Arabidopsis thaliana: one gene and its partners. The protein of the gene in region 2 purifies or fractionates together with the protein of the main gene of each other region. This does not show direct contact. Each region holds a gene or a part of one and is shown on either strand. Other genes may lie near its edges.

What was found.
Region 1: the proteins of AT3G07590 (region 2) and AT2G18740 fractionate together in Arabidopsis thaliana (co-fractionation; one large-scale study listed by BioGRID). This does not show direct contact.
Region 3: the proteins of AT3G07590 (region 2) and SNRNP-G fractionate together in Arabidopsis thaliana (co-fractionation; one large-scale study listed by BioGRID). This does not show direct contact.

What each region holds. Positions count from the first base shown.
Region 1 is NC_003071.7:8,116,768-8,127,071, forward strand, and holds AT2G18740 (Small nuclear ribonucleoprotein family protein), read left to right. Parts: upstream 1-6,453; 5' UTR 6,454-6,566; coding exon 6,567-6,608; intron 6,609-6,708; coding exon 6,709-6,735; intron 6,736-6,834; coding exon 6,835-6,897; intron 6,898-7,618; coding exon 7,619-7,697; intron 7,698-7,784; coding exon 7,785-7,830; intron 7,831-7,933; coding exon 7,934-7,943; 3' UTR 7,944-8,311; downstream 8,312-10,304. Other genes in the region: AT2G18721 (uncharacterized protein), read left to right, coding at 232-339; DGK3 (diacylglycerol kinase 3), read left to right, coding at 2,209-2,568, 2,889-3,011, 3,103-3,240, 3,324-3,409, 3,500-3,587, 3,694-3,769, 3,857-3,939, 4,060-4,130 and 4 more; AT2G18750 (Calmodulin-binding protein), read left to right, coding at 9,060-9,175, 9,326-9,401, 9,492-9,550, 9,631-10,124, 10,210-10,304.
Region 2 is NC_003074.8:2,417,310-2,427,613, forward strand, and holds AT3G07590 (Small nuclear ribonucleoprotein family protein), read left to right. Parts: upstream 1-5,741; 5' UTR 5,742-5,836; coding exon 5,837-5,850; intron 5,851-5,989; coding exon 5,990-6,066; intron 6,067-6,144; exon of another isoform or gene 6,145-6,280; coding exon of another isoform or gene 6,281-6,293; coding exon 6,294-6,485; intron 6,486-6,587; coding exon 6,588-6,649; 3' UTR 6,650-6,678; downstream 6,679-10,304. Other genes in the region: AT3G07568 (fanconi anemia group D2 protein), read right to left, coding at 160-240, 330-443; AT3G07570 (Cytochrome b561/ferric reductase transmembrane with DOMON related domain-containing protein), read right to left, coding at 896-1,126, 1,226-1,518, 2,234-2,639, 2,718-2,897; AT3G07580 (uncharacterized protein), read right to left, coding at 3,868-3,966, 4,072-4,124, 4,297-4,347, 4,573-4,719, 5,155-5,186, 5,303-5,352; AT3G07600 (Heavy metal transport/detoxification superfamily protein), read right to left, coding at 6,991-7,379, 7,459-7,537, 7,640-7,645; IBM1 (Transcription factor jumonji (jmjC) domain-containing protein), read left to right, coding at 8,839-9,291, 9,375-9,472, 9,574-9,673, 9,771-9,909, 10,078-10,141, 10,247-10,304. UniProt on the Arabidopsis thaliana protein: Involved in splicing regulation.
Region 3 is NC_003071.7:10,179,959-10,189,893, forward strand, and holds SNRNP-G (Putative small nuclear ribonucleoprotein G), read left to right. Parts: upstream 1-2,292; 5' UTR 2,293-2,394; coding exon 2,395-2,429; intron 2,430-2,533; coding exon 2,534-2,556; exon of another isoform or gene 2,557-2,802; coding exon 2,803-2,924; intron 2,925-3,005; coding exon 3,006-3,068; 3' UTR 3,069-3,412; downstream 3,413-9,935. Other genes in the region: AT2G23940 (transmembrane protein (DUF788)), read left to right, coding at 4,241-4,324, 4,423-4,616, 4,729-4,813, 4,896-4,961, 5,047-5,139; AT2G23945 (Eukaryotic aspartyl protease family protein), read right to left, coding at 5,271-6,647; AT2G23950 (Leucine-rich repeat protein kinase family protein), read right to left, coding at 7,246-7,611, 7,685-8,064, 8,149-8,493, 8,578-8,706, 8,800-8,900, 8,980-9,039, 9,115-9,186, 9,278-9,421 and 3 more. UniProt on the Arabidopsis thaliana protein: Probable common Sm protein, is found in U1 and U2 snRNPs and may be part of the spliceosome.

The DNA of each region.
Region 1 (10,304 bases), on a different chromosome or scaffold from region 2:
CTCTGTTGCAATCAATCAAAGTTCACAACTTTAGAACAACGTTGATCAGAGCCAATACAATAACACTAGAAGTTTCGAAAGGCTGTTCAGAAACTAGGGTTTTTATGCAAGATGGATGGGTTCCGTTCACAATAGTTACGATTCGATTAAATTCAATTAGGGTTGCTAATCTATTTCACTGAAGTTCTTATAAAAATGATTTACACAAACCTGAAGTACGGTAAGAGGTAGATGAAGAAGTTTGCTCGCAGAGATTTCAGAGGAGAAAGCGTGCCGTTGAAGGTTTGTGTTTTTGGTTTTGATAAAGTCAGGTGGCGTGTAAGGTATATTTATAGGTAGGGTTTTATCTTAACGTTTACTGTTTGTCTTTTTCGCCAACTTCATTTTTCCATGTGTCAATAAAACATGTCTTACAATTTTTATTTTATAATTGTCGGTTTCTTACCCGAAATGTTTTTTTATAGGAAAATTTGTGTTAGGTAATTTTGCAATTTCATTTACAAAATATAGCACGCTCCTTTTGAGATGGGCTAAAATCGTTCCAAAGTTTGGGCTTACACGCCTAACCATTGGCCCACTCCAGTTTACTTCTATCTTTCACCAAACTAAGAAACATTGATCCTTGAACAAAAAGTAGTATATGTTTATATGATGACAAAAAAAAAAGAGTAGGAAATCTATGATTCTATAGGAGTGTAAATGAATAAGCTGTGATAAATTTAGGTTATTTTTCTTAACGATATATATTGTTAGATCAAATTTTATAGTTACATCATTTGGAGTATAATGTAAATATGTTCCGCTTTATAATAATGTAAATATGATTTGTAATACTAATGAGAACACACGCTCATTGTCTTCCAGTTCAAGAAATATCTTAAACCCCACTTTTTATCAGCCACCTGAATTTGAGTCTTCCTCTGCCACATAATAAATTGTTTACATGGACCAATTCTTGGTTACAAAACATCTGATATCATATCGTGCAATTAAGAAGGTATTAAATGATGTTTTTTTCTGTGGCATTTGTATATACTTTCAAGTTTCGACCAATTCTATAAGTTAAGAAAAAGGCATTGAGGGAAATTTAGGTTAGAAAAAGTACACAACGATCCCAGCAATGGGAAGTAGCTATCACTTTCAGTGACCCTATTTCTCTGAGTGGGCAATAACATTGTAGGCCCCATTCTGTGGAAAATCCACTAACTTCAATGTCTGCTCTCATTTTCTATTGTCTCCTTCGCTGTTTTTTTACAATTTACGTTACCACCAAAACTATTCCTTTGTTTAATGACGAAAACGCCACTCTTTCTAAGCAAAATGTCAGAGAATTTTGTTTCTTTGTTGGAGAGTTGAAAATATTTTTTACATAGAAAAAGAAACCAATAATGCAGTCAAATAATAATAGGAAGCAAATAATAATGCAAGTATCTCTAATTCTCTATATCAAATTGTATTCAATCATATTCACCAGATGTAACCTCTATAATGGAACCTTTTTGAATATTAAAATATCATTAGATCCTATTCTTACAATGTATCAATCAATTACTAATTAATTTTCTCTGGTTTTCTTGATATAACAATAACGTTAAAAAATCTCATTGTTAATCTCTTTATGCCATCATTAGTATTGTAAGATTTTGTACACTTTAAATTGTAAATTTGATCTTACAGAAACAAAAGATCTACAAATCTTAGTTACAGAAGATAATGGTATTAAACTATACAAATCTTAGTAGTTTAATATTATTAATAATCAAAATTATTCTAAATTAGAACTTTTACAAAATAAACATTTATCAGTCGCTTTCATAAATGTCAAACAATAAAAAAAGAAAAAGAATCAAAGATCTAAAGAGTGGCATTTTTATGACGTCACATTGAAATCCAACCGTGTAAATTCTTTTTTTTTCAATATAAGCAAATTAATTCACACGTTTTGTGCGCTGTCTTCGAAACTAAATCATTTATAAAAAAGACAAAACAGACAAGAAAATACAAACTGTCAAAAGAAGATTTTATATTGGTTGATTTGAAATCTCTCAGCAAAGAAGAAGAAGAAAGATTAAAAAAAAACAATCCTTTATTATTTTTCATTTCAACTCCAATTTTGATTATCTGGGTTTCGAATATTCCTCATTTTCTCCAATCACAGGACGAAAAGTAATCATCTTTTTGTCTTTTCTTCTCCGGCGAGAGACTACAATGGACTCTCCGGTATCAAAAACCGATGCATCGAAAGAGAAATTCGTGGCTTCACGACCATCAACGGCTGATTCAAAGACGATGAGAGGTTGTGGACTCGCGAATCTGGCATGGGTTGGTGTAGATAAAGTAGAGCTTCGTCAGAGGTTGATGATGCCTGAGTATCTTCGTCTCGCTATGCGTGACTGTATCAAACGCAAAGATTCCTCGGCTATTCCTGATCATTTACTTCTTCCTGGTGGTGCTGTTGCTGATATGGCTCCTCATGCTCCTATGGTTGTTTTCATTAACCCCAATTCTGGTGGTCGTCATGGTCCTGTTCTTAAAGAGAGGCTTCAACAGTTGATGAGCGAGGAACAGGTTTTGCTCTCACTGAACTTGTATTTCAAATCTTTTTCTTTGGGTTTTTGGGGGAATTTCGAATCTAATTTGTATCTACTTTGTGTTTTGATTATGTTAGTTTGGAAACTTTCTTAAAGTCTCTGGCTTTTAAGTTTTTAATGCTTGATTTATATGTTTATGCTTAGCTGATGTTAGATCTAGTGTTTTGTTGGAACTTTGAAGGATGAGTTACGTTTAAAGATTGAGTCTTTTGGAAAGCTGAGTGATGTTGATGTTGTCAAGTTATTGGTTTGAGCTTTTGATATTGAAACTTCATGGTGACTTTTGTGTTGATACAGGTGTTTGACCTCACGGAAGTGAAGCCGCATGAGTTTGTTCGATACGGGTTGGGGTGTTTGGAGAAAGTGGCAGCGGAAGGAGATGAATGTGCAAAAGAATGCAGAGCAAGGTTGAGGATTATGGTGAGTGTATTGACCATATTTTTCTCCAATCTCTATAGATCCACTTGAATGTTTTTAGCAATCAGAATTGTGAATGGAATTGGTTGGATAGGTTGCAGGAGGTGATGGTACTGTTGGTTGGGTTCTTGGATGTCTTGGAGAGCTTAATAAAGATGGAAAGTCGCAAATTCCTCCTGTTGGAGTTATTCCTCTCGGTACAGGGAATGATCTTTCAAGGAGTTTTGGTTGGGTGAGTTGTGTTTTCTTTGTTCTCTCTTATGTTGTCGTGACAAAACTTTTGAATTGGTACTGACTATGGTATCTCTTCTTCAGGGTGGTTCGTTTCCTTTTGCGTGGAGATCTGCTGTTAAAAGAACACTCCATCGCGCAAGTATGGGTCCAGTTGCTAGACTTGACAGGTAAAAGTCTTATTTTGCTCAAAACATTTAGCTTTTATTGTATTTCTCTTGTTGTAAAAATGTATGCGCTTTGGTTATGTGGTGTTGCAGCTGGAAGATTTTAGTGTCAATGCCATCTGGAGAAGTCGTAGATCCTCCTTATTCTTTAAAACCCGCTGAAGAAAACGAACTTGATCAGGTTTTGCTCTATTTCATTAGGCTTGCTTCTTCTCATTGAATCATCAGCATGTGATTTTGTAAATTGCCACGGTTTAGTAATTAACCAGGCTTTATGGTGGTTTCAGGGTTTGGACGCGGGAATTGATGCGCCTCCACTTGCAAAGGCTTATGAAGGTGTTTTCTACAATTACTTAAGCATAGGTTTGTTGAACTTCTCTTTTTGATATCCTAAACAATTTTCACAATTGTTTTTCTGACCAGATTCTTGTGTTTGTCTGGTTTGTTTAGGTATGGATGCTCAAGTTGCATATGGCTTCCACCATCTTCGCAACACTAAACCATATCTTGCTCAAGGCCCTATTTCAAATAAGGTTTGTTTATTATATTTGCACCTAAACTTTGGACTCATTATTTGTCTTTGTTAAAAGCTAAAGTAGTTATGTTGGTTTTGAGAAACGACATTACCAACCACACAATGTTTGCTTTTGCAGATTATATATTCAAGTTTTGGTTGCAGTCAGGGTTGGTTTTGCACGCCTTGTGTCAACGATCCAGGTTTAAGGTTCGCCATTTCGACTCTTATTGTGTAGTTGAACTTGTGTGTAAGTCTCTGCTTAAGCCCTTTGTTGTGTTGTTGACCCCTTGTTTGTGCTATATGAATTTGCAGGGGACTTAGGAACATAATGAAAATTCACATCAAAAAGGTTAACTGCTCTCAGTGGGAAGAGATCGCAGTCCCGAAAAAGTAAAAAACAGTTTTCGATATATGATTTATGTATTACAATCTTTGATATCAATGCTTAAAACCTGATGCTATGGATTTCTCTTGTAGTGTGAGATCAATTGTCGCATTGAATCTTCACAGCTATGGAAGTGGAAGCCATCCTTGGGGCAATCTAAAACCGGACTATCTAGAGAAGGTATTGTTTCTGTTCCATTTCATCATATATGAACTCAGTTCTCTGATGTTAACCCGAATGTTTTCTTTGGTTTTTCTCAGAGAGGCTTTGTGGAAGCACATTGTGATGATGGTTTGATAGAGATTTTCGGTTTTAAGCAAGGATGGCACGCGTCATTTGTCATGGCTGAGCTCATCTCTGCCAAGCACATAGCTCAGGTAACTTCAAAAGACACTGGTCAATGTATAATCTTTTTAGCCATGTGTTTGACTGTTTCATTTTGGTGATCATTTCAGGCTGCTGCGGTAAGATTTGAGCTAAGAGGAGGTGACTGGAGAGACGCATTCTTGCAAATGGATGGTGAGCCATGGAAGCAACCAATGAGCACTGAGTACTCAACATTTGTGGAGATCAAGAAGGTTCCTTATCAATCTCTGATGATAAATAATGAATGATTGAGATTCAAAGCTGGATTCTTTGTACAAAGCTAATTGTTTTGTATTTGGATTTGATTCAGTTAGTCATAGATATAGCCTAAGCTTTTTAGTCTTCTTTTCTTTTAAATCTGAGATTGTGACCATTTTTCTCTTTTTAATTTCTGCTTATTGTTGGTTTTGTACATTTTTGTGTTGTGAGGAATGAAGTTTGTTTATTTATAAGAATGTGGGAAGATAATATTTGGTCAAATTTCAATCTCTCTTCAATCTTTGTAATTCTAGCATTGAGCACATAGATGTGATTCTTTGTCATATTTTTATTTATTTTAACACTAGTTCGACTGAGAACCAATTTATCATCGACACCAATTTCTAAGTAAGAATATTTTTAATAATTATCATTATTAGTCGTATATTTTTACCAGAATAATAAAAAATTAAAAACCTAAGTTAATAAACCACACAAAAAAGTTTTTCTCTCTTCGCTCTCTCGTAGTTTGTAAAGATAGAAACTGAAATTTCTTTTGTTTTTGTTAACCGGATAGTTTTCCGGTGAGTCGCCGTCCCGTTTAATTCGGGCTTTCGTCCGACATCTTCTAGCTACGTTAGTGGAGATGGTTGGCTTTTTGTATGGCATCGTTGGCTAACTTAGCGACGTTGGCCAGCTTCCGTACGGCAGCGTTGGGCTTACACTAACAGCGTTGGTCATCTTTGTTTTTGTTTTGTTACTTCAAAGGTTTGATGATGAAGCTTTATGGCATGCAGAATCGTCAGATCTGAAGAGGGTTTCTCTTTACAAGATCTATTCTCCTTCTGTTTTGTTTAGCTTCACTATTGGGTTATGCTTTTGGCTCTGGTAGTTTTTCGGCGATGTGTGCGTTTCCAGCAATTACCCTCGTTTGGATCTACCATATTTAAGACAGTTTCAATTTTATTTTCGCCTAAGATTGGGTTAAAGCTTCTATCCTATGCAAATTTGATATGCCTTTAGTGCTTTTGCAAGAGAGTTCGAAGATTCAATGGTTGGACAAGTTTGAACTACTCAATTTTTTTAATTTCTTTACCCGTTTTGATGAATTATTTGTGATTCTAGCAACCATATGAGATTAGGAAATTGATGTTTGTTCTATAACATCTAATTGCCATAATCGGTGATAGAAAAAAAGAGTTTCATTGCTCGGTGCTTTCCCGGCGATGGTTCTCCGATTCACCAGACTTGAGTCTCATCCGGTGGAGGTTGTGGAAGATTCACGTGTCCTTAGCTTATTATTATTGGTCTGACACGTCTTAAGCTTATCTCTTTTTTGTGACGTAAAAGTCTGTTGTGGACCTCATATGTAGACTGTCTTGAGCCTTTTATGTTGTAACACTGAGCCTCAGTATATTAAAAATAAATCTTTCTCTGAAAAAAAAAAAAAAAAAGTTAAAAACCTACGCTAAAAAATTCTAGGTCTTGGAAAAGAGTATTTGGGCCAAATGATCACATTAATTAGTTATGGGCTGAAATAACATTCTGAAGTTTTATGAGGACCGAGAGAACTAAGTTTAAGAAAAATGTTGAAAAAAGCGTATTAGCAGAGGGACAAACGCTTTTTAGGGTTTTAGATTTCCTCTGAGAGAGAATTTTCGAAAGCTTGAGAGAGATTTCCAACTACGTTAGCCATGGCGAGCACCAAAGTTCAAAGGATTATGACCCAACCTATCGTACGTTTCTTCTTCGATTCCTTTGTTCCATCTCTTTATTGTTTCTATCGAAACCTAATTTTGTATCTTGCTTTTTGTTTTCCGGTGGCGGCGGCTCCAGAACTTGATTTTTAGGTTTCTTCAAAGTGTAAGTTGTTCAATTTCTTCTGATTTGCTCTCTGAGGTTTTAGGTTATTAGTAGTTCGTCTACTGATTTGTTCCCTGGTCTTTTGTGTTTGTGATGCAGAAAGCTAGGATCCAGATTTGGCTATTTGAGCAGAAAGATTTGAGGATTGAAGGAAGAATCACTGTAAGTTGATGTTGAAGCTCCGTTATCATGAATTGATTAGATTCCTGGCTTTGTTTATAGGACATTCGAGGGTTATGCTAACTTTAGGAGAGTTTGAAATGCATTAGCAGTGTGACTATCTCTCTAATTTAGTCTGTGTTTGAACTGTTGCATTTGTTGTGAATTGAAAAGGGATAGTTGTCACTGTTACTACTACTGCACAAAGAACTGATAAGAGCCTGCCAATAGAAACTAGTTTGATTAGCTAGCTGTTCTTAGGTTGAGTATGATTGTGTCATTCTCTTCGGCTTAAAACTTATTGTCTCCTACAGCCTACTTGGCTTTGGGTGTTACTTGTTTCAGTTTGTTGCTATGCTTGTAGTTGTATGTCCTCTATGATTTTCGAGTTATGATTCAAGCATTCAAGCTTTTCTTAGTTTGATTCTATGATAATTTGGAGAAACTTGAGATTTTGTGATGGTGTCATTCTCATTGGCTTAAAGGTTTGAGTTGTCTACTTGACTTTTGTTGTTCCATGTTGCAGTCTACTTGACTTTTGTTGTTCCTCGAGTTAAGATCCTAGCTTTTCTGAGGTTGATTATATGTATGGAGGAACATGATATTTGTGATAGTGTCACTCTACTCGGTTTTAAACTTAGATTTTTGTCTACTTGAATTTGGGTGTATTATTGATTCTTCTAGGAGAATCCATCAAACCTTGCTTATCCGTCGTCCTTTGCAGGGTTTTGACGAATACATGAATCTAGTTTTGGATGAGGCTGAAGAAGTGAGCATCAAGAAGAACACCAGGAAACCACTTGGTGAGTTATCCTGAACTCACTCTTTGATAACAAGTCTCAGATCTGTCTGCTTATGGTTTGATAACTCGTGTTAATACCTATTTTCAGGAAGGATTTTACTCAAAGGAGACAACATAACTCTGATGATGAACACGTAAGTAACACAATCTCTACTCTGTCTTCTCTCTTTATGATGTATAGCAGCTTGATTTGTCACATAACAAAAGATTGAAACAAAATCCTTTCTATGTTAACAGGGGAAAGTGATGTCTGTCTCAAACAACTCTCTTCGATGACCTTCAAGCTTATGTTAAATATCTGTTGAGTTCTTCCTCAGCTTAATTGGTACTTGACGATACCTTCTTTTCTTCAATGTCGTATAATATATTGCAATGTAGTGAGTGACAAAGGAGCTTGATCGAATCTAGTGGATTGGTTGGTTAAAACTTCAAAAAAGAGATTTGGTCCCTTTTGGTTAAATCTAGTGTTATGTAATTTGGCTGATCTTTGTTGCAACTTTTTAACCTCTGTTTAAATTTCAAACCTTAAAAAAGTAAAACCAATTGATTTTGATTATAAAAAAAATTGTATCATTTTTGTTTGTTTGGTGAACTGACCGAGTTGGCCATTCTCAGGGCTCAAGTAGATTGAAAGTTTAATTATACTAATAGACCAATCAGAATATAATCTGTTAAAGTTAACATAAAAATACAGAAATCTATGTGAACATTAACTTTTCATTGCAATTAGATGTTTTTATATCCATGTTGATTGTTGAATCTTATCCCTAATCTTGCTATTGGTGAAATGAATGTATTTTTACTATTAAAGTCTTTTTTTAATAACAAATAATTGGACTTTATACAACAAAGTATTATTATTTAATTATCAACTTTAGAATATAGCATGTGCCAAAAATACATACACTAGCCGCCGGCCCAAGAATGTCGTCCAATAAACGAAAAGCAAAAGTGACGGCAATCCAAGCCTACTGTGATCTTGTCCGCACCCGATAACTATCTTTAATTACTAAAACTAGTCAAAGTACTCGACTAATCACAAAACTAGACAAGTGTTTCAAGTAAATTAATTTTTGATCTTTTCATTTTATCTCTCTCTCTTTTTCTTCTATCCAAAACACCATTTTTGAGGTATTTTTCTCTCTCCTTCGAATCGAATTTTCAGGTTTCTCTTTCCGTTTGTTTGAAGAAGCTTTTAAGTAGAATTCATAAAATCTTGCTTAGCTTCTGGGTTTGATTTGTTTGTGGTAAAGTTTTGATTTTTTTTTTAGTTTGAGAGCTGGATTTGTGATTCTTTCTCTGGGTTGGTGAAGTTTTTTACTTGCTTCGATCTTATAGATCAGAGCTTCTAGCAGCGTAAAAAATGCAGACGAGGTATATGGAGAGGACTAATAGTATGAGAGAGAAGAGAAAATTGGAGGAAGATGATAATCAGCAGCAGCAGCAACAGCCTGAGCGTAAAAGGCCAGCTCTTGCAAGGTAATTTGTGTTGATGCTTGTAATTTTTCTGATTATTGATTATGGCGTTGTTGAATCTGTAATTGATTTGTAGTTGTATGAATGAAAAAAGGGTTGTTATGTATATTGATTGTCTGTGGATTTGAGAAAGTTGTGTATGTGTTATTGCAGTGTAATTGTGGAAGCCTTGAAGATGGATAGTTTACAGAGGCTTTGTTCTTCTTTGGAACCGATTCTTCGCCGAGTGGTTAGCTTAATAAGAATTGTTTACATGTCTTTTGGTGCTTTGTGTTGTTTCTTTGGCTTACTGATTTGTTTTGTGAGCATTGTCAAACAGGTAAGTGAAGAGGTGGAGCGGGCATTGGCAAAGCTTGGCCCTGCAAGACTTAGTGAAAGGTAACATATGACTGTTTTAAAAAGAGATAAAATTAATGGTTGGAGTATTTGTGGTTTTCTTCTAATGCTTGAGTTCACAGGTCGTCTCCAAAACGAATTGAAGGTATCGGTGGAAGGAATTTGCAGCTACAATTCAGGTCTAGATTGTCTGTTCCTTTGTTTACTGGAGGGAAGATAGAAGGGGAGCAAGGTGCTGCAATCCATGTTGTACTGTTGGATATGACAACTGGACATGTTTTGACAGTAGGACCTGAAGCTTCTGCAAAGCTTGATGTTGTTGTGCTTGATGGTGATTTTAACACTGAAGATGATGATGGTTGGAGTGGAGAAGAGTTTGAGGGTCATTTGGTGAAAGAACGTCAAGGGAAGAGGCCTCTCTTGACTGGTGATGTGCAGGTCACGTTGAAAGAAGGTGTGGGAACATTAGGGGAACTTATCTTTACGGACAACTCAAGTTGGATTAGATGCAGAAAATTCAGGCTGGGTTTAAGGGTCTCTTCGGGTTACTGTGAGGGAATGCGTGTACGCGAGGCAAAAACAGAAGCTTTTACCGTGAAGGACCATCGTGGAGAGTGTAAGTTCTTGCTTTCCTTTGATATTAGTCATTGATGTATCTGAATCTTTGTTTTTCTTTTGCCTAATGTTTTTTTTTCCTACAGTGTACAAGAAACATTACCCACCTGCTTTGGATGATGAGGTCTGGAGGTTGGAAAAGATTGGAAAGGACGGGGCTTTCCATAAGAAACTCAATAAA
Region 2 (10,304 bases):
TCAATGAACAATATCAATGTAACCAACCAAACAAAAAAGCTTTCTGTAAAACTCAGATCATATGAATAGCTTAATTTATCTAAAAGAGTAACGAGATTATCTCACTAGCAATCAAATCATAGTTACGAATGGAGGGAGAGAGGTAGAGAAAGAGCTGACCTGAGCTGGATTCGGGTTCTCATAACCACCAGACTCCAAACCTGATACTCTACCTTCCAGAGCACTGAATTTCTCCTTCATCTGCAGCATTGGAATTTTGTTAACGATTTGCAGGATATTCGAATGAAAACTTTCCCAAATGATGAATTTCTAAAACATTGAAAATTTACATCAGAAGAAATAGCGAAACGTTCGGCATAGAGATCACGCCACACGATATGAGCAATGGAACCTCCGGTCACGGAAAAACCAAGCGTAAACCAGAGAAGGCGAGTTCTCAACATCTCTTTCTTCTTCTTCTTCCAATTTCTGCAATGTCTCTGAATCTCTCTGACGCATTACCGAGTCGTCAACCATTTTTTCTTTTTGATATGGGCCTTTATATTGGCCCATTAGTTTGCTAAAACAAACTAAAGCATTTAAGTTTTTTAATTGAGATGGGCCTTTCTTATATAGAAGTCCAAGCATTTAACTAGTAAAAATGTCTATCGTGGCCCAAAAGACCGTGAAGGTCCGTAGTTGATAGGATATGAAGCAGATTATAATTTTGTAAATAGTGAAAAAAAAAAAAAAACATTATACACAAATTAATTCTTGTATCAACAAATAGACCTTCAAAAAAAAAAAAAAACATATCATTCAAATGATTAGTCAATAACATGTTCAATACATCACACTGTCCTAACCAAGATAAATATGGTTGCAAGACAATAAAGAGAGATCATTTAAATAAAAGTTACTTTTTCAAGAACTTTCTAACTTCTAATCCAATAGCCGTCAAGGCCAAGACCGCGACCGCAAAACCGTAACCACCATTCCAACTAGTTCCAGCTTTAGCCAAATGAATACCGTAGAAGATGTTAGAAATAGCCAGTATGATCAGAAGTCTTCCTATGTTATGATGATACCAATTCCAATATTTTCTGTATTTCGATTGCTTATCCGGCCGAGCTAGCAATGCCAGCATCTGAAATATCAATAAACAAAACCATGTAAACATATAATCGTCTTGGGTGTTCTTCGCAGTATATACTTCAAATTTTTGAGTGTTATTAGGAAGACGAACCTGAAGAACGCCCATGACAAGTATGGTTATCCCGAGGCCTTTGTGCTTGGAAACATTATTGGCCTTGAGCCGGTTTTCAAGAACCAAACCGCAAATGACACCAGTTAAACCGAGGAGAAAACCAGTGGTTTGGAGAGCGATATGGGCATAGAACCAAGTGGGGTCCCATTGCTTCATATGTCGAGCCACTATGGCGCCAACGATAATCAATATTCCCCAGCCGAACATGTTCATTAGCCCATGTGTCTTCTTTAGCTTAGAGTGTGGTGAAACTTTAACCACACTTTGCGAACCTTTTACATTCATCAATGGAAAACCAAAACATAAATTAGTCCAAGCAACTACGAAACAAGAAGAATTTCTAGATTCTAATACAAACTCATGTTCTTTTATTAAGTTTTGTACCCTCCATATCTTGAAAATTTTTAACACTAAGTTTTACTCATGAAAAAGTTAATCTGTTTTTTCACTGCATCTCACAATCATCAAATCAAACAAACCAAAATAGACAATGATGAGATATTAAAAACAAAAGACCTGTACATCATTTTGTTTTGTCTTTATTACCCGAAATATTGTTGAATTGCCATTTGGTACAAAAATCAACTAAAACTTAATTACTACTCCAAGCTACAGCATCTAGACTTCTAGAGAGTCCCATAATCTCATAATGTGGCTAAATAAATTCAATCGTGTTTTTTGACCAAAAAAAATACAATAAGAAAATTGGAAATTAGTGTTTTGGAAACTATATGAGTAGTAGTAGCAGTAGTTGGGCAGGGTCGGTATAATGTGAAAATGACTCCAACAAAGAATAATGGTACAATCTTGAACCAGTTCCTAATCGTCATCATCGCATGTGTTTAATTTGTTTTGAATTAACTTAGAAAAATATTATGTTGTTGGAAGGCTTACCAAACTAGTGGAGATATAAAATGATTAAGCAGTCAAATAATGGATTAATTCAAGATTGACTTTAAATAATTAGTCAAGCTGGGTTTTGCTTACCTGTATTATAATTGATGGTCGTGGTGGTCACGAAGCGGTGCTCTCTCAACCTAAAATCCGGCGAAGATGGGAAGAATCCGGCAGGTCCCACAGCGTAAAGAAGACTCTGCCGCGGCAGCGTCGCCGTCAATTGAAATCTCATGTAAAGACGCGACGACACTGATTCGATCTTCAACGAGCCGTTGACGATCGTTAGATCTCCTTGGTCAGGATTAACCTCTCCGGGAGATTTCCCACCGAGCAAGTACGGTTTCACAGTCCCGGAACCGCCGTCGGAAGGTATCCAACCAACGATCGCGCTGCTTCCGATCATCTGACCGTTGGTAGAGAATCCGATCCCGATGAAAGCGCTTGAATCCGGCGCCGATAAGATAAAGCTCCATGTGTTCTCTGCCGTTCTTGCATACTACGCGTGAATATTATTAGAAATTCGGTTTCAATATTTTCAGAGTTGGAAATTTGAAAATTAGGAAAATTGACTTACTCGGAGGATGAAATTTTGGGGAGTCCAAGCTTCGGTGCATTGAAGGAGGCTGGTGTTGAAGGTGAGGTCGTTGAGAGGTAGAGTTGAGTTGCAGGAATCTGTAGCAGCTTGTTGAGCATTAACTATGGTGGAGAGAGCAATTAAGACGAAGATGATGATGGAAACAGAATAAAGCTTCATGTTTTGTTCTCTTTCTCTCTCTCTGGATCTGAAAGATGAAAGAGAGAGGAAAGTAAATGACTAATGAAGAAGGATCATGATGATGACGACGACAATGAATTGTATATATATATATATATATATATATATATATATATCTTGTTTATGAGATAGTGTGTGTGAAGAAGCAGTTGAGAATTCAACTAATTTTAAAATTCTTTGTATCGTTAGAATTCGTTTTTTTATATCATTATTATTACTAATCTGGTAAATAAAGAGCTCTGTTTCATTAAGAAAGAGTAAAAATCCTTTCGTTCTGTTTCTCTGTCTCTCGTCGGCTTAAGATGTGGAAAAATGATTGCAATGTACCAGCTAACTTAACATGTTTTGATCATTTAAAGACAAAAATAATAAACTTGATTGAAAAGGACAAAATGATAAATCTCTCTTTAATTTTTGGAGTACTTGCTACGAATCCTAGCTTTTTCACGACCAGTATCGGTCTAGTCAGTTTAAGTTTCAAGTCAACTGGTTATTGATTGCATCTGCCGCATTGTGTTTATTCATTGATCGACCAATGGGATTTTTCAGACATACAGATAATAGTATGTACTACTATACATTTGCCTTTTTGGTGTTATTACTTTTAGTACTTGGATTCACATAAATTTTGTAACAACTGGCTTCTATTAGCTAGACGGTCTATTTCCCGTCTAATTCAAAACCAAACTTTGTAAGACAGATGAAAGGAGCAATGAATTTGTAATCCAGTTAAGCTAAAATGAGATGGTAACGTGATTGTTACTCAAATCTCTGGTTTGGGTTTTTTACACTTTCAGGGACCAGAGAAAACAACCGATCCTGACAAAAGCAATATCTGTTATCCTACACACACACAATATAAAAGTCATTGACATACCACCGCTTGTGCCATCTCAACAAACACCATTTCACTAGTCTATATGGGCTCCATCATCTGAACAAGAACCATTCAATTGTTGGCTTTTGGCATCAGCAATCCTCGCCGCACTTCAGTCATGTAATCCGTTGGCGATGGAGGAGGTAATGTCTTGTTTGCTGCAGCCAGGATCTGTAATTGTTTTGACACAAAACAAGAGATGGGGTCTCATCATTCATGTACTCACATCTTTAGAAAAACTAGAAGCATATGATAAGAGTTTGAAGTTAGTTCCACCTGATGAGGTAGTTTACCCCAAACACTCCCTCCATAGTACATGATTGGTCGCACTGTGAAACAGAGAAAGTAGGCAAACTTGAAAATCAGTTATACTTGACTAACCGGAAGACAGAGATCCAGATAAGAACATAGATATATCTGATTGTATTTGGAGGCAACTCAAGCAGCACAAGTATAATAGACACAAAGGACAAAGGAAAACTTAGAATCCCTTAATCTCACCAGATAGATCCACAGTTGGGTCGTCGTATTGATGCATTTCAGCTGCCCATCCTGTTCATGACAAATCAAGAGCACGTAAATAAGACAAGTACATAAAACTGACTGCATAAGCAGTGAATTCAACACACCTTATCTATTAAGTTCAAAGATTTCTAAAACTAGCACTGACTCAACAAATGCTTAGCATAGCAACAGTTGATAGAAGAACGACCAGATAGTGATACAGAGCAAAGAATAAACCAGCTAAATGTTTAAAGAGATAGTTCAGATTTATACGTTGGCTCATGAGCTGATAAGCTGCACTCCTGGAGCAGTCCTTTATTGTTATTATCCTCTGGGTCTGGGATATGTTTTCCATCTGAAGACCAGTAGCAGGAGGCTGATTTCTCTCATTATCGTTGTTCTGTTGGCTACTTGTTCGATCTGCATTTCACTCTTTATTTAGCCAAGAACCATAGCATACTAGCAAAACCAGATATAGCTTGAACGACGATTTATTTTCAAGAAAACAGGCAAACAAATGGGTCAAGTACACACATGGAGAAATGAATCAACCAGCGGATTTGCTAATAAAGAGAGAGCGAGATCTGAATTTCAGGCTAAACTCCTAATAATTCACTTTCTTAGAAACGGTTCTTGAAGTTACCAACTATGCACAAACACAATGTGTACAGATTCGCATGCAATCAATTCCTGAATCTACAAAACAAGATTACTTCTATTCATCGACAATCTTTGATCTAAGCTATAATCTCCACAGAACTAGATACTCTCGGAATTAAGAACCGAATTGATTAAGAATCAATAAAGAACGACTGAGGCAAAGAAGACAGAGAGAGAGAGAGAGAGCTCACATACCTCCCGACTTCCGGCGATTCCCAGAAGCCTTCCTGTGACACGGAGAAGCAACATCGAAAGGTAAGAACGGAGTAGCGAAATCAGTAGAATAAAGAACACTCGAAATCAGCAGATCAAAGACCACTGAAGAAGAAGAAGAAGAAGTTACCTTTGATTAGGAGGAGTGTATCGATTCTGATTGGAGCTCGAATCCGCCATTGACGAGTTAGGATTTACGCAGTTTTTTCAGAGAACTCTCTCTCTCTCTCTCTCTCTCTCTACCGGAGGAGATCTGTCAACAGTCAACTGTTTAACGCATAGAGAACGTTGAAAAGCGTCTTCTCGTCTGAAGTCGTTCAATCTTCACGCGCGAATTCTTCGACGCGTGTTTATCAACCTCTCGCGCGCTTTTATTACGCCTTTCCGAAATTAACGTTTCGTGTTCAATTTCCGGTTTGCTGAACCAACTGTATGTAGATTTCTGGTTGAAACATCTACTGGTCCACCATTGGACTTTATGGGCCTTACTACATTTTTGGGCCCAATATTGTAATTTAGCTGATGGATCCAAAACCGGAATCGGATCTGTACCCGCTCCATCGTGAGGTCTCTCACAGCGAAAGAAGGGTTTTGAGGGTTTTCACACCTTTCGCTGTTTCCTCGTCAATTTCTTTGTTTGGTTGTTCTTTCTTCGCATCCAAAGATGAAGCTCGTCAGGTACTGTTTCGTTCTCAGTTCTTCTTTTCTTTAGAAAATTCATGTTGTTCTTAATCTTAGTTAGCTCCTGGCATGGAATCCATTCCCAATATTGAGCCTGAGCTGATTTGTGTTATATGGTTTTGATTGGATCGAGTAGGTTTTTGATGAAGTTAAACAATGAAACTGTGTCTATCGAGCTGAAGAATGGGACTGTGGTCCATGGAACCATCACTGGTAAGTTCTTATTGTTAGCTTCCGGTTTCTTTGTAGCTCTTCTCATCTTTTCTTCTCTCTCGATTTCTCCGTTGCTAGGTCTTATACAAGTCGCGATCTGTTCCCTTATTTTCAATTGGCCCTAATCGCGTCCTTGTGATCACATGAATAGGTTGAGTAAACACACAGTTAGAGCCAGTAGTCATAAAGGTATATTTATTGAAGTTTAAGCTTGATGATTTGGGCAGGTGTTGATGTGAGCATGAACACTCACTTGAAGACAGTGAAGATGAGCCTGAAGGGGAAAAACCCAGTAACACTTGATCATCTTAGCTTGAGGGGTAATAATATTCGCTACTACATTCTTCCTGATAGCTTGAACCTCGAGACTTTACTTGTGGAAGACACTCCTAGAGTTAAACCTAAGAAGCCTGTTGCTGGTACTGCTTCATTCATTTTTGGTGTTTGTAATATTCGTCTTCATAAGCTAAAAGACTTCTTTATCAGTCCATTTATTCGTTCTCTCTTTCTTTCTTCTTTAGGGAAAGCTGTTGGACGCGGTCGCGGACGTGGCCGTGGGCGTGGTCGCGGCAGAGGTCGTTAGATGTAGCAGCGCTCTGGAACATGTTGAAGGTTTGTGAGTTTAATTTTTAGGAGAATGTACGAGTTATGTAACTAGCAACTCTGGCAAAGGAAAGATTTGATTGAGAAATAGTATGATTGATGCTCTAGTAAGGAGTTACTTTGTAATGGAATTCCATGGATAACAAGATTTGGCTTTACATGTTATAAGAGCATCTACAAGTAGAGAATTTGTGTGATACTGATAGCTCAAGACTTTTTATTCATTTAACAAATCTGACTATCAAATTGCATTAACATGTTGACAATCTTAGTATAGAAAAACTGCTATCTCCTCCGTTAATCTTCCACATGAAACCTATCTCACATGATCCTGCAATTGGGATCTTGATTGTAAACGGGTTCCCCGATCTGATTGTAGGGATCACACGGGTAGGGATAGGAAGATGGCACACCATATCCATCATGAGGCCATGGTTGATAACATGGCTCAGGTTTTTGCCATGGTTGACAACATGGCTCAGGTTTCTTCTCTTCAGGTTTCTTCTCTTCGGGTTTCTTCTCTTCGGGTTTCTTTTCTTCTTCTGGCTTTTTGTCACCATCCTTAGGTGGTTCAACTTTAGCTACGCTAACAAGCTCCGCAAATGCAACTTTTTTCCTGAGTGTGTTGATTAGAGCAATCATATCGACTTCAACACCGGTCACCTCAATCTGGTTCCTGTGATCTCCCTTTATTTCCACAGCGTTCACGCCTATAAACCAATGCGATAAATCTTTAGATTCAACAAGAATTACAATCATCAAGTTCTCTAGTGTTTGTATCATTGTTACCTTTAAACTGAACCGCAGTTTTCATTGCCTTTGCTCGAGTTGTGTCATCAGTCATAGCAATTCTTATCAGGATCTTTTGCTGAGTACAATAAGAGAACTCCTTAACATCACAAAGAGAAGTCTCTCTCTTTCACAAGAGAATCGAAGTTATTACTTGTTGTTGAGTACACAGGAGACATACCTTCATGTTATTGTCTTCTGAGAATCCGCGTGATTTGTTTGATGGGAGTTTGCTCCGAACTTTTTTGTGTCTTCTTCGATCACAAATTAGAGGAAATATAAATAAGGATCGATTTTATATATTCATTTGTTCCATGAGTCGTTGTCTCACACAACGGAATCCGATAGTTTGAATATCGTTGTCAGGTTCATATCTTCGGTCCTTACGTGTTTTATTGGTTCTAGTTGCCGATTCGTACGAGCTTATTACCAATTTTTTAATTTTAAAAAGCCTAACAAAAATCTTTATTTGATTGAGTCAAAAAATTAGATGAAATAGTTATTTGACTGGGTCAAAATAAATTGATTAAATAATGGTAAACAACACAAATAATATTTGTTTACTACACCGTTGCCTGGTAGTTTTAGACATGTATGGCAAAAGACTTAATAATTTTTGAGTCGATATGTCAATTATGATGATTAATAAGTTTTGTTTGTTCATCATCCAGTTGTGCATAACAATGAATAGAACAGATGCGTTAAAAGTCTTGGTCTTCTCTAGAGTACATGTTTCCCTCTAACTTCCTTCTCAATAAAAAAAAAGATTAACTTGACTACTAATCTGTCATCCATCTGTATTAACAAATGTTATATGCTTGACTTGCAATACGTACTTTCGCAATCATATTGCAGTTTTCTAACGTAATGAAACAATAAGCTTTTAGTTTATACTAATGTGTGTTGTCTAATGCTAATTTGACTTTAATTTCTTAACACATTACACATTGATGATGCCAATTGCAGTGATATCAGCAACTTGCAACCGTTTGATCCAATGATATATCATAGGTAATTAGGTATCATATCTCATGGAGATAAACGGGTAAATAAATATAATCTTATTTGCTAAATAAAAAATAATCAAGTTTAAGTTTTAACATCTTCATATACAATCTGGTTTCTGTGATCTCCCTGTATTAGCAAAAAAAAAACATGATTTAAAAAAGAATTTGGAAAGAAAAGAAAAGAGCGGGAAATAAATCCAAAGATTTGACCAAGTTAAACCAAAACTTTTTTACTATCTGAGAAAACCATTCAGTTTCCCCAAAATAAAATAAAAAATCAGCCTTAAATCCCGTGTCTAGGGTTTTCTTTCGTAGCTGATTGGGGGCTGCAAGAGTTTCGCCGAGGACGATTGAGAATTTTGATTTTCGAAAAATGGATTCTGTGGAGGAAGAAGGTGTTGTTAGGGTTGAAGAAGAGAACGGACGCGGTGGTCTCCGTAGGCATCGGAGGGTTTCTACGAAGCTGGCGAATTACGTAGATCCTCCGACTGACGACGAAGAAGATGGAGGACCCAAGCGAAAGGGCAAAAGGGGTGGAAATAGGGCTCCGAAAAAGACACCGAAGAAAGACGAGGAGATGCAAAAGAACGAAATTGATGAAGCAAACCGAGTCACTGGTCTGGTGAAGGAAAAAAGAGCCGCGACTAAGATTCTGAATCGCAAAGACTCCATTATTGAAGTAGGAGAAGCTTCTGGAAGCATGCCCAAGGAAGTAAAGGGAATTAGGATTGGGAAAAGGAAGGGAGAAATCGATGGTGAGATTCCAACTAAGCCGGGCAAGAAGCCAAAGACTACAGTAGACCCGAGAATCATTGGTTACAGACCGGTTAGTGATTTCTCTGTAAAATTTGTACTCTTTTCATACCTTACATGACGACCAATTCATTAATTTTGGGATATATTATATAGGACAATATGTGCCATCAATGTCAAAAGAGCGATAGGATTGTTGAACGGTGTCAGACCTGCAATAGTAAGCGTTATTGTCATCCATGCTTGGACACTTGGTATGATCTTCTTCTTACCTTGAACTTTAATTTCGTTTCTTGTTACTGATTTCATTTTACTGTCCAGAAGCCTGAAACATTGGTCTATTTACTTCTTGCAGGTACCCCCTTATAGCAAAAGAAGATGTTGCCAAGAAATGCATGTTCTGCTCTAGTACTTGCAATTGCAGAGCATGCTTGCGTCTAGATACTAAATTGAAAGTAATTTTTTCTCGTATCTACCATATCTTGCTTGCTTATTATTATTTTTCGATTTACTTAAGCTCCTTACCATAATAATTACTCCTATGCTATGTAGGGGATAAATTCGAACCTCATAGTCAGCGAGGAAGAAAAGGTCCAAGCCTCTAAGTTTATTCTGCAGAGCCTTCTCCCACATCTGAAAGGAATAAATGATGAACAAGTTGCTGAGAAGGAAGTTGAGGCCAAAATATACGGTACTTTCTTTGCTTTTATTTATGATTGGATATTCGTTATTATTGGATATACCTGCATTAATTCCCAACAAAATCTCAAAGTGAGTGGGTTCAATTTTTTAAGTGGGAAACTGGAAGCTCATTAGTTCCAGGAGTTTGAAGATACCTTAATGTTGTTTAAACTCACAGGACTGAAGTTTGAAGAGGTGAGGCCCCAAGACGCTAAAGCTTTCCCTGATGAAAGACTATACTGGTATATTACCCTGATATTTTTGTTTCAGTTAAAATGACAAGTTCTTATGTCTTCATGCTGTTTGATAACATGCTTCGTTGTTGTTCTAACTTTTTGGGCTTACAGTGATATCTGCAAGACTTCTATCTATGATCTCCATAGGAATTGCAAGTCCTGTAGTTTT
Region 3 (9,935 bases), on a different chromosome or scaffold from region 2:
AGAAAAGTGAGTATTTTTTTTTTGGTTTTAATGTGAGAAAAGTGAGTATTTATTACTTGTATGTCATTATTTATGGAATATATGATGAGGCTAGGTAGCAACAAATAATAAGAAAATGAGAAAAGCATTATACAGTTTTGTACTAAACTACACATTTGCAAGCTAAGAAGGAAATAAATTTTGACATGTGCTTGATGTAATTTATGAGTTGTCAACTTTAAAGTATATAGCTAACTGTTGATGAATGATTTATCATTAACATTTTTAAAAAAAATTAGATACAATTTGAAACGTGTAATAAATGATGAGCATATATCCATACATTTTGTTTGTAATGGGTTTCTGATTTATCCACACTTCAGTTTCTGCAAGCTGTGATGTTAGACATGATAAAATCACACAAACAATTCAGAGACATACAAAATCAGGATTGTGAAGCAGGATTTAAAGTATATAGCTTAGTTTTTTTTGTATTTTTTTTTAACAGCAAAATCAATATTCACGTTTTAGACATCAGAAAATGAAGCAGGATTTGCAAGTTTGAGAGTTAAAAGTCAGTCATTAACAAAATCAAAATCTCAAATGCATCCACGATTTATTAATACAACATAAATAATGCAATACGATCCAAAAGAAACTACAAAAATAAAATTTAAGGTTCGGTCTTCTCAAAAAAGATCAAGGTTTTGTCTTCTTGGTATGTCCATCATGAAGTTTCTTCTATGGGACGTTCTTTAAATTTGCATGATATAGATCAAGATGGGTTGTTGCCATATGCGAGGATGATGTTGAATTGCCTCTGCTGGACCAACGTTTCAAGGACACTAAAATTTTAATGTCTTTGGCAGGACCGGCTATAAAATTTTGGGGTCAAAACTCAAACAAAATAATTTAAGATTATTAAAAAAAAAAGTGGAGCCAATTATCGTAAAATAAAAGTATTATTAACAGTATATTGAAATTTTAAAGTCTTGAACCACACTTTTGATCATATGAGATAATATGTTTTGGTGGTGTTTTAAGAGCAAAACTAAAGGAGATGGGAAACTCGATATTTGGTCGATGTGGGATGAGTGTAGACAACTTCAAGGCTGTGAAGATCCCAACACCGGCTCTTACTCCATTTCTTTTCAAAACTAGTCGATACATTCTCATACACAACTTATTATTAATAGGTTTCAGTGTTTTACATCAACCAATTTTATATTAATCGTTTATTTATATTTATTTTGTTGTCGATGAATCGGTATTAGAAATTGAGAGCTTGTGGCATGGTATATCTGTACATTCAAGTATTACAGTGGAGAAATTTTTATTTTGGACTGATATATTGTTGTTATCCCGAGCTAAATTTGTAAATAGGAAACACAAATTGAAACTTATAAAGTAAATCGCGAGAAAAATCAATTGATTATTAGAGAAATACTAAACAATCTGAAATGCAAATCGTTCGCTCAAAGTAAGCTCACGATTACACAACGATCAACATAGACTGCTATTGCTACATCACCAGAGTATTTCTTTGTCTCTCTCTCAACAATCTAGAAAAGCATAAAGCTTATGAGATGTAAAGGTAGAAAAATTTAGAGAAATATTTATCATTTTTCAATTAAAAATATAATAAGAGAAAAATGATAATGCATTATGTTTAAATAATATATATATATAAAGAAAAAAATTTAACCTTGTGAAATTTATAATTTTGTTAGTCTAAATATAGTATATGTAGATAAAATATAAAATTAGTGAGTATAATAGATGTGTCACCACTTACCACTTATTACCTAAATTAAATTCATTATAATGCATATTGGTGGCAGAAAAATTGTATATGTAATGCTGAAAAACAAAATGGTATATGTAATATCATTCGATAGAAACAATTCGAACAATTGGCCGCATTAGAACTACAATGACATAAAAATGTCTTCGTCATTTTAATTTTTTTCTTATCATTTTTGATGTTGTGGTGAAATTTTAGTGTAACTTTTAAAATTTATCGATTGGTGAAATCAAAAATATTTGATCAATTGGTTAGACGCTAAATATTTGATCAATTGGTTAGACCACAACAAAAATATTTAATTAATTGGTTAGACGATTGTAAGATATTACATCAGATTAATAGCGTCTAGAGAATACACTTCGACGAAAAAGGAAAATCACTTAAAAAAAAAAAAAAAAATACACTTCGACGAAACATGTCAATAGTCATATGAGTTGGGCCTTATAGTTTATTGGGCCTGAGTAGATTATTGGGCTTAAAGGAGTAGTAAAAAACAAGAAGACGCTAACACTAGACTTCCAAAAATCAAAACTTTAGGGTTTCAGAGCAAACTCTGTCTTCTTCAAGCCGAGAGCGAAAACCCTAAGCTCAATTCCGATTTTGCAACTATGAGTCGTTCAGGTCAGCCTCCGGATCTTAAGAAGTAAGCCCTTGTTCTTATTTCTCTCTTTCTGTTTCTATATCTTCGTGTTTCTGATTTAATTTTTGTGCTTAATCTGTTGTTTGTTTTTGTTTCGTTCGATGCAGGTACATGGATAAGAAGCTCCAAAGTAAGTTCAATATCTTCATCTTCTTTTATCGATAGTTAGGGAACTTCAGTTTTGTATAACACATTAGCTGAGATGTGATTGCAACTTTATTCTGTGAATCGAACTGGATTTGGTATTACTGATTTTAGTTATAGTGTCTAGAATCGAACTCAAAGTAGTTTTTTTTTGGTGATTGTGTTTTGATTTTAGCAAAGAGTGGATTTTTTCTTGATGTGTTGAGATTGATGAATTGTATTTGAAATGCAGTCAAGCTTAATGCTAACCGAATGGTTACTGGAACTCTTCGTGGGTTTGATCAGTTCATGAATCTTGTTGTGGATAACACTGTTGAGGTGAACGGTAACGACAAAACCGACATCGGGATGGTGGTAAGTCTCTCGATTCTGTGTCCCTTTGTCGTTAATCTTCTGCTGCTCTTGACTGATGTTTTACTTTGGTTTTGGGAGCAGGTGATTAGAGGAAACAGCATTGTCACTGTTGAAGCTCTTGAACCAGTGGGCAGATCTTCTTAGCTCGTTATATTCATTGGTTATGATCTTTTTGTACTAAGCACTAGCTATGAGAAATCTTGGTGGTAGATTCGCAGTTACGATGAATTGATTCTGTAAGAAGTCTACATGAATACTCTTTTCTTGTACTAAAAAGATTGCAATGAACCCCCACCGATGAATGTGATGGCTTGTACTTTTCACTCTTGATACAATGCTCAAACCTCTATTAGTCATCTTCTTAGCTTGGTTTATGCATCCATAGTCATCTTTGTTTTGGTACTAAGCATTAGTTCTGAGGAAACTTGATGGTAGATTTGCAGTTATTATAAATTGATCAAGAAGTCCACATCAATATTCTTGTGCTTTTACTCTGGATCCACTGCTTTGATCTTATATCTTCATCCCTTCTGTTAATGCTTAGTTGCTCTTTTTCTCTTTTTGTAATGAATGAGACTTTAAAGAAGACAAAAAATGCAGACAATGTAAAATGCAAAGAACATAAACAAGTCTTACATGTTGAGTTCATTGCCGAGAGGCTCCCATTTATCATGAGCGATTAGGACGACATCGATTTCAACCATGTTGACACAAAGTTTACTGAACTTGAAACAGAATGTGTATCAAAACTTGAAAATGTGATTGTGTCACTGTCAAGCACATAACCTAAATTTTACGATCTTTCCCAAAGCGCCAAAAGTAAAGCGGACAAGCGAATTCTACGAAACCAACAAGCCGCCACTGTGAGTGTCTCTCTCTCGCTCCCTCTCCCTCCCTCTCCCTGAAAGATTATCATGCTTCTTGTGGTGAAGCTGATGGCTTTTCCTTGATTTCAGTACATTGCAAGTCTTAGTCAGGCACTGGCCTATTGTCATGGAAAATGTGTGATTCACGGAGACATCAAACTTAATAATTTGTGATCATGAGGTATATATGGTTAAAGTGTTTTTGCATTGAGAATTCGGGATATTCATTATTTGCAGCTTCTTGTTAAGGATCCCTCAAAACAACTTTCCGTGGATTGTCAAGAACGCAGATCCGAAAGCTCAATTGGGCCTATTTACAGGCTTAGGCCCATATACTACTAGATTCATCGGAAGCGAAACAGTGAGCGTCGTTGTCTTTTTCAATAACCTCTGCTTCGCCGGAAAAACAAACAGACGACGACTATTGAGAGCTAAAATCCGAGATTAAGAATGGCGAATCAAGGAGCGAAGAAACGAAAGGAAGAGAACGCCAAACACATGGCTAAGCTCCGTCGTATCATCATCGCTTCCAATGTATTTTCTCCTCTCCCATCTATACGTTTCCCAGATTTCTACGATTTTTCGCGATTCTTCATGAATTGAGAATTGGATTTTGTAATTTATGGTCACAGGCTGTGTATTTCGTTGTGAGGATGTTGATTTTCTACTCAAGCTTTACTTGGAAACATTGGATCGGTTTAGTGATAACTTCGCTGGCTTACGCGTTTCCTTATAAGCAGCTTGATCAAATGGCTAAACCTAGTGTTACTGATGATGGTGAGCTTATTGATGGTGGATTTGACATGACCACTGGTGGAATCTGCGGGTACGTTTGTGTTAAATGAATCAACAAGAACCAAAAGCTAGCTTCTGTGTTATGGATTTGCATACTATGATGTTTGAGTTATGCATTTTGAATCATATGATGACCTTTGCAGATATTTGCACGATGTCATCTATATCACTTGCTTTGTTCAGCTAGCTTCCATCATCACTGGGAAGTTTTGGTACACGTATCTTGTGGTATGCGTGTTTGCTTAGTTAATAAACACAAATTGATACATAGAATTGGATTGAAATGATGTAACTTTTGTTTGGTTTTTAGATTCCTGCGTTTGGAGTGTATAAAGCTTCTGGTCTTATTCGAGGATTCATGTCACAAGGTTCAGAGGTAAATCTCATTTAGTTTTAAGTAGTATTAGCTTCTTTACACAATGCAAAAAGCTTTACTCTGTCTCTGTGGCGTTGAACTGTAGGGAGGTGTGGAAGATGAAAAGTCTCGTAAAAAGAGAGAGAAGATGGAGAGGAAAGCTTCGAGAGGGCAAGTCGTCAAGACGAGAACAAGATGAATGTGTTGTTATAGAATACAACATGAATTTGGGGATGAGTATGTTCTTCAAAATATACAAATGTGTTCAAAAGGTAAACTCTCTAAGCTTTCTGAGTCTCTTTTACATGGACATGTCTGCGTGTACAATATTTACTTTGATGGGGAATAGTCATCGAGTTGAACACAGTCGATTCTCTGGAGATAGATGTTTTTTTCTTTGAGGTCGTAACCAATATTATAGTATTGTTGAGCCATTAGCCCTATAGCTGTGAATTCCTTATATTCCCCTCCATGTTCTTTGGTTGGCTTCACTGACATACAAAAGACGTTAAACGTATTCGGTTCTGATAATGGATAAAACATGCTTGTGGCCTCCATAGCCAGCTCAGCTCCGCCTGCAAAATGAAATGTCACCACAGGGAAGCCTATGAGCTCTTCGCTCACTCTCCCATGGTAGCACAAGAAGTCTCTAAACCAGAATCTCTCTAATTTTGGATCCAGAATGGATTTTATTTCATTGTAGAGTTCTCTGTAGGCTATATCTGCTAGCCAAGTGTAGAGTGTGCCCGAGTCTAGTATGACCCCTGTTCTTGGTCCTCTTCTTTTGAATACCACTGGTTCGATATTGAGTTGTGTATCCCCAACACTAATCCCTTCTAGATTCATATAGTAGATACTATTCTCTGTCTCAAATTCAATGGGTGTTGGATCGCCGAGAATATCCGCGTCCTCTCCCAGAACCAGCTGATTGTAACCGTAGTTTTTGTTAGCTAAATCACCAATGCAGTAAGAGAATTTAGACCCAAGCTGTACGGCAAGTGATGTGGGTTTGGCTCCTAACCCCAAAATACCAGTGAAATGACTTTCCAACTGCTCTCCATTCTCGTAGCCACACCCAAAAGCAATAGGTTGGGTCACAACAGTGTTACCGTTAGGTGTTGTGAAGGTTAACCGTTCTTTAGCTAGAACGCCTTTTGACCCAGTGCCGCTTATATACACTTGTTCGTAAACACACTTGTTTGATGAGCCGCAATGTCCGTTTGGTGCATACCTGCAAAAACGATCATCGCAGGAACACTCTACAAATGTTGAAGACAATGCTGGATTGAAGACAGGATGGATCATATGATCTGATGAGCAGTGTTTGCAGGGTTGACATTGGATCCATAAAAGTGAGCTTCCAGTATCCATGATAGTTAACTGCGGCACCGGTGGCTGTCCTACGGAGAAATTCACAAGAAACAATGATGTTTTGATTGCTTGTTCCACATCAACTTGGAAATTGCTGCTGCCTAGCTCTTTGTCAATCGAATTCTGTAGATACTTAAACCGGGCTGATGAAATATCTGTCAGGTGTTTGATATGGTCTTCTGGAGTGATCGGAACTCGAGCATTTGGGTTGAGACGGGCCACTGATTCACGGTGTATCAGCTTCATCGCCATTCGGTTAGGTTTAATGGATTCTGTTACTACAAAGTATGATACAGTGATGAAGAGTAAGAGTGAAGTTTGGAAAGAACATTCCATTGTTGTTGAAACGGTACAGAAACATGGACTTGGGGGATTACAGAGACCATTTTGTAACCTCAAATAAAGATTAAGTTAGGGTAATAGCATCAAGACTGTGATATGAAGAAGAATATAAAAGATCAAAACACAACGAATTGATGACAACAAATAATATCCAAAAACAACCAAAGATCATGAGACTATAAATAGCAAAAGTTTGTTGGGGTTATGTATATAAAAGCTATCATGTACTTTACATCTTTTGTTGTTTTGTGTTATGTTTTTTAGAAAAATAAATTGAACAAAAACAATTAGAAGTACAGGTCAACATATCATTAAGTTGTTGGTCGGTAAATTTTTTGATAATAAGACATGAATCTCAGAGTTTGACCAAAAATTGCTTTCACAGGACCTCAAATTTTACAAATTTGGATAACAGACCAAAACCAACACATTTAAAAAAACCTTAATATATACATCCAAAATATTAACCATTAGACCCAGAATCTCAATTTTTTCAAAGGTTTGATAACCATTTACATGTCTATATCATCTCAAAAACAAAAATTGAAGTCATGGGGATATTATATCTGTTTCTTTCTGTGTCCAAGATTTACTACCTTGGACCAGATAGTTCCATGGCGAATGAATCTAACGCTTGATTATCATCTTCATCTTCAAATCCTGAGGAGCCAAACAGATGTTTGGTTTGGTTGTTGCCATCAGTAGAGGTAATAGTCCTGTAAGACATGTTGGCATGGTAGAAATGTGAATGGTCATGTGAAGCAGCCCATCTCTCAGCTAATCCATCTCCTTCAAGCATCTGAACTACTTCAGACATTTTGGGTCTGTGAGCTGGAAGAAACTGAGTGCAGAGCAGTGCCACTTGTAGCATCTCTCCAACTTCTATTCTATCGTAGGTTGTCCCCAGTTCTCGGTCTACTAGCTCCTCTACTTTCATTTCCTTGTGTAGCTTCCTCACCTGCAAAACTCAATTGAGTTTTAAGACTATCTTTTGATTATACGTTTGATCTAAACTTATAGTGATTGCTTACCCATTCTAGCATAGCTCCTTTCTGGCTAACAGACTTGCCAAACTCGAGAGCTCTCATTCCTGTGATGAGCTCTAGCAAAAGTATACCGAACCCAAAGACATCGGTTTTCTCAGATGACTGACCGGTGGAGAGATACTCAGGTGCAATGTGACCAACAGTTCCTCTAACCGCGGTTGTGACATGTGAATCCTCGTGGTTGAGTAGCTTTGCTAGTCCAAAATCCCCAACAACTGCTTCAAAATACTCATCTAGGAGAATGTTTGCTGCCTTGACATCTCGGTGAATAATCTTGGGATCGCATTGCTCGTGTAGATAAAACAACCCTCTTGCAGCTCCAATCGCTATCTTCTTCCTTGTGTTCCAGTCCAACGCTGGCTTAGCTGTAACAGTAACAAAAATCAGTTCAAGTGATTTCATTTTTTTTTTTACTAAAAGCAGTTATCAGAAACCATTTTTTTGACTACCTTTGAGCCTAGAGGCGACGCTGCCATTGGACATGTAAGGGTAAACAAGAAGTCTTTCGCTAGAACTCGCACAATAACCGATTAACCGAAGCAAATTCCTATGAACAGCTAAGCTGATCATCTCAAGCTCAGTACGAAACTGTGAGTTCCCGGAGGTTCCATTCACATCTTTCAATCGTTTCACTGCAACCACTGTCCCATCCCCGAATTTTCCTCTGTAGACATTACCAAACCCACCAGCACCAAGAATACTCTTGGAACTAAAACCATCCGTAGCTACATGAAGTTCCCTGAATGTGAAGCTTCTTAGATTTCCCAACCCAAGTAACCCTTCCTCTTGCTTGTCTACATAAAGAACCAAAACAAAATACTTTAGACAACAAACAAAATCAAATTACATAAACCATAAGCTTACTCGATTTGACTAACCACTAATGCGAAGCATCGTTAACCGTCTTTGTTTCTTTCGATACCAAATGAACCCGAGAGAGAGGATTACACTAACAGCAAAGCCAAGGCTTACACCAAGTGCAACTGCTAATATGTTGGTTCTACGTCCTACACATCCCAAATGGTATCTAACTCATAAGCAATGGATTAAACAATCGACGAAAAGGCGAGCAAGATTATTGAATTTAAGGATGGATTTACCTGATGAAGAACGTAAAGAGACAGAAAGAGGGCTTGCACTGATTGATCCTGAACAAATCTCCGGTAGGCTGTTTTTACAAATCAAAGGGTTCCCAGCAACACTACATTCAACAGTGAAAACACTTAGGAAAAACTCAATCTTTGACAATAACACAAGAGACCAAAAGAAAAGGTATTTACTTGAATGTCCTTGCAGGAAATTTAGGAACAGGACCTCTGAGATTGTTATAAGACAAGTCTCTGAAACCAAAACATCAAAAAACATGAGTCTTTAAGTTAAAAAGTAAGAAAAAAATTCAAACTTTATATACTCACAAGAAAGAGAGGTGAGGGATTTGAGACAGAGAAGCAGGAAAGGGCCCAGATAATGAGTTGTTGTTCAACCTCCTAATCAAATCATTACACAAACGTACGAGGTTTAAGTTAATGAAGACGAATCTTTGATTGATTAAAATCTGAAAGAGAGAGAGAGACTTACAGATATTGGAGATTACTCAGCTGGTTAACAGAACCGGGGATTTCACCGGAGAACCGGTTATTGGATAAATCCAGAGTCTGTAATTTGGGAAGAGAACAAATCTCCGGTGGGATTTTACCGGAGATGTTATTGTTCTGTAATGACCTTCAAAAATCCAAAAAACAAAAACAGAGTTTGAAGAAACAAACAAAGGAGATACTTTTGTTTAATGAGGAAACAAACAAAATAATCTTACACTTGTCGAAGATTAGTGAGATTTCCAATAGACCCAGATAAAGTTCCTGAAAGAGACTGACTTGGAGCTCCTCTGGAATTGGGAAAAAACAAAACAAAGATGAAGAATTTGTCACCATTAATGACTATGAAGACAAAAGCAAAGAAAACTTACAAGCCAATTACGAGGTTGTCTGAAGAACAAGAGATCATAGTCCAGCTACAAGGATCAACAGAAAACTCATCCCAGTTTTTGAAAACACCATGTGGATCATGTAACTCGTTCTTTATGTTTATCAACGCCTCCACTGTAACAAAGAATCACTCTAAATCAATTATTGGGTACATAAAGTTTGAAACTTTCGAATACCCATAAGAAAAAAAAGAGTCTTTTCTCGTTTTTTGTTGCTTTGCTTACCTTCAGGGTTTCTGGGTTCAGAAGAGA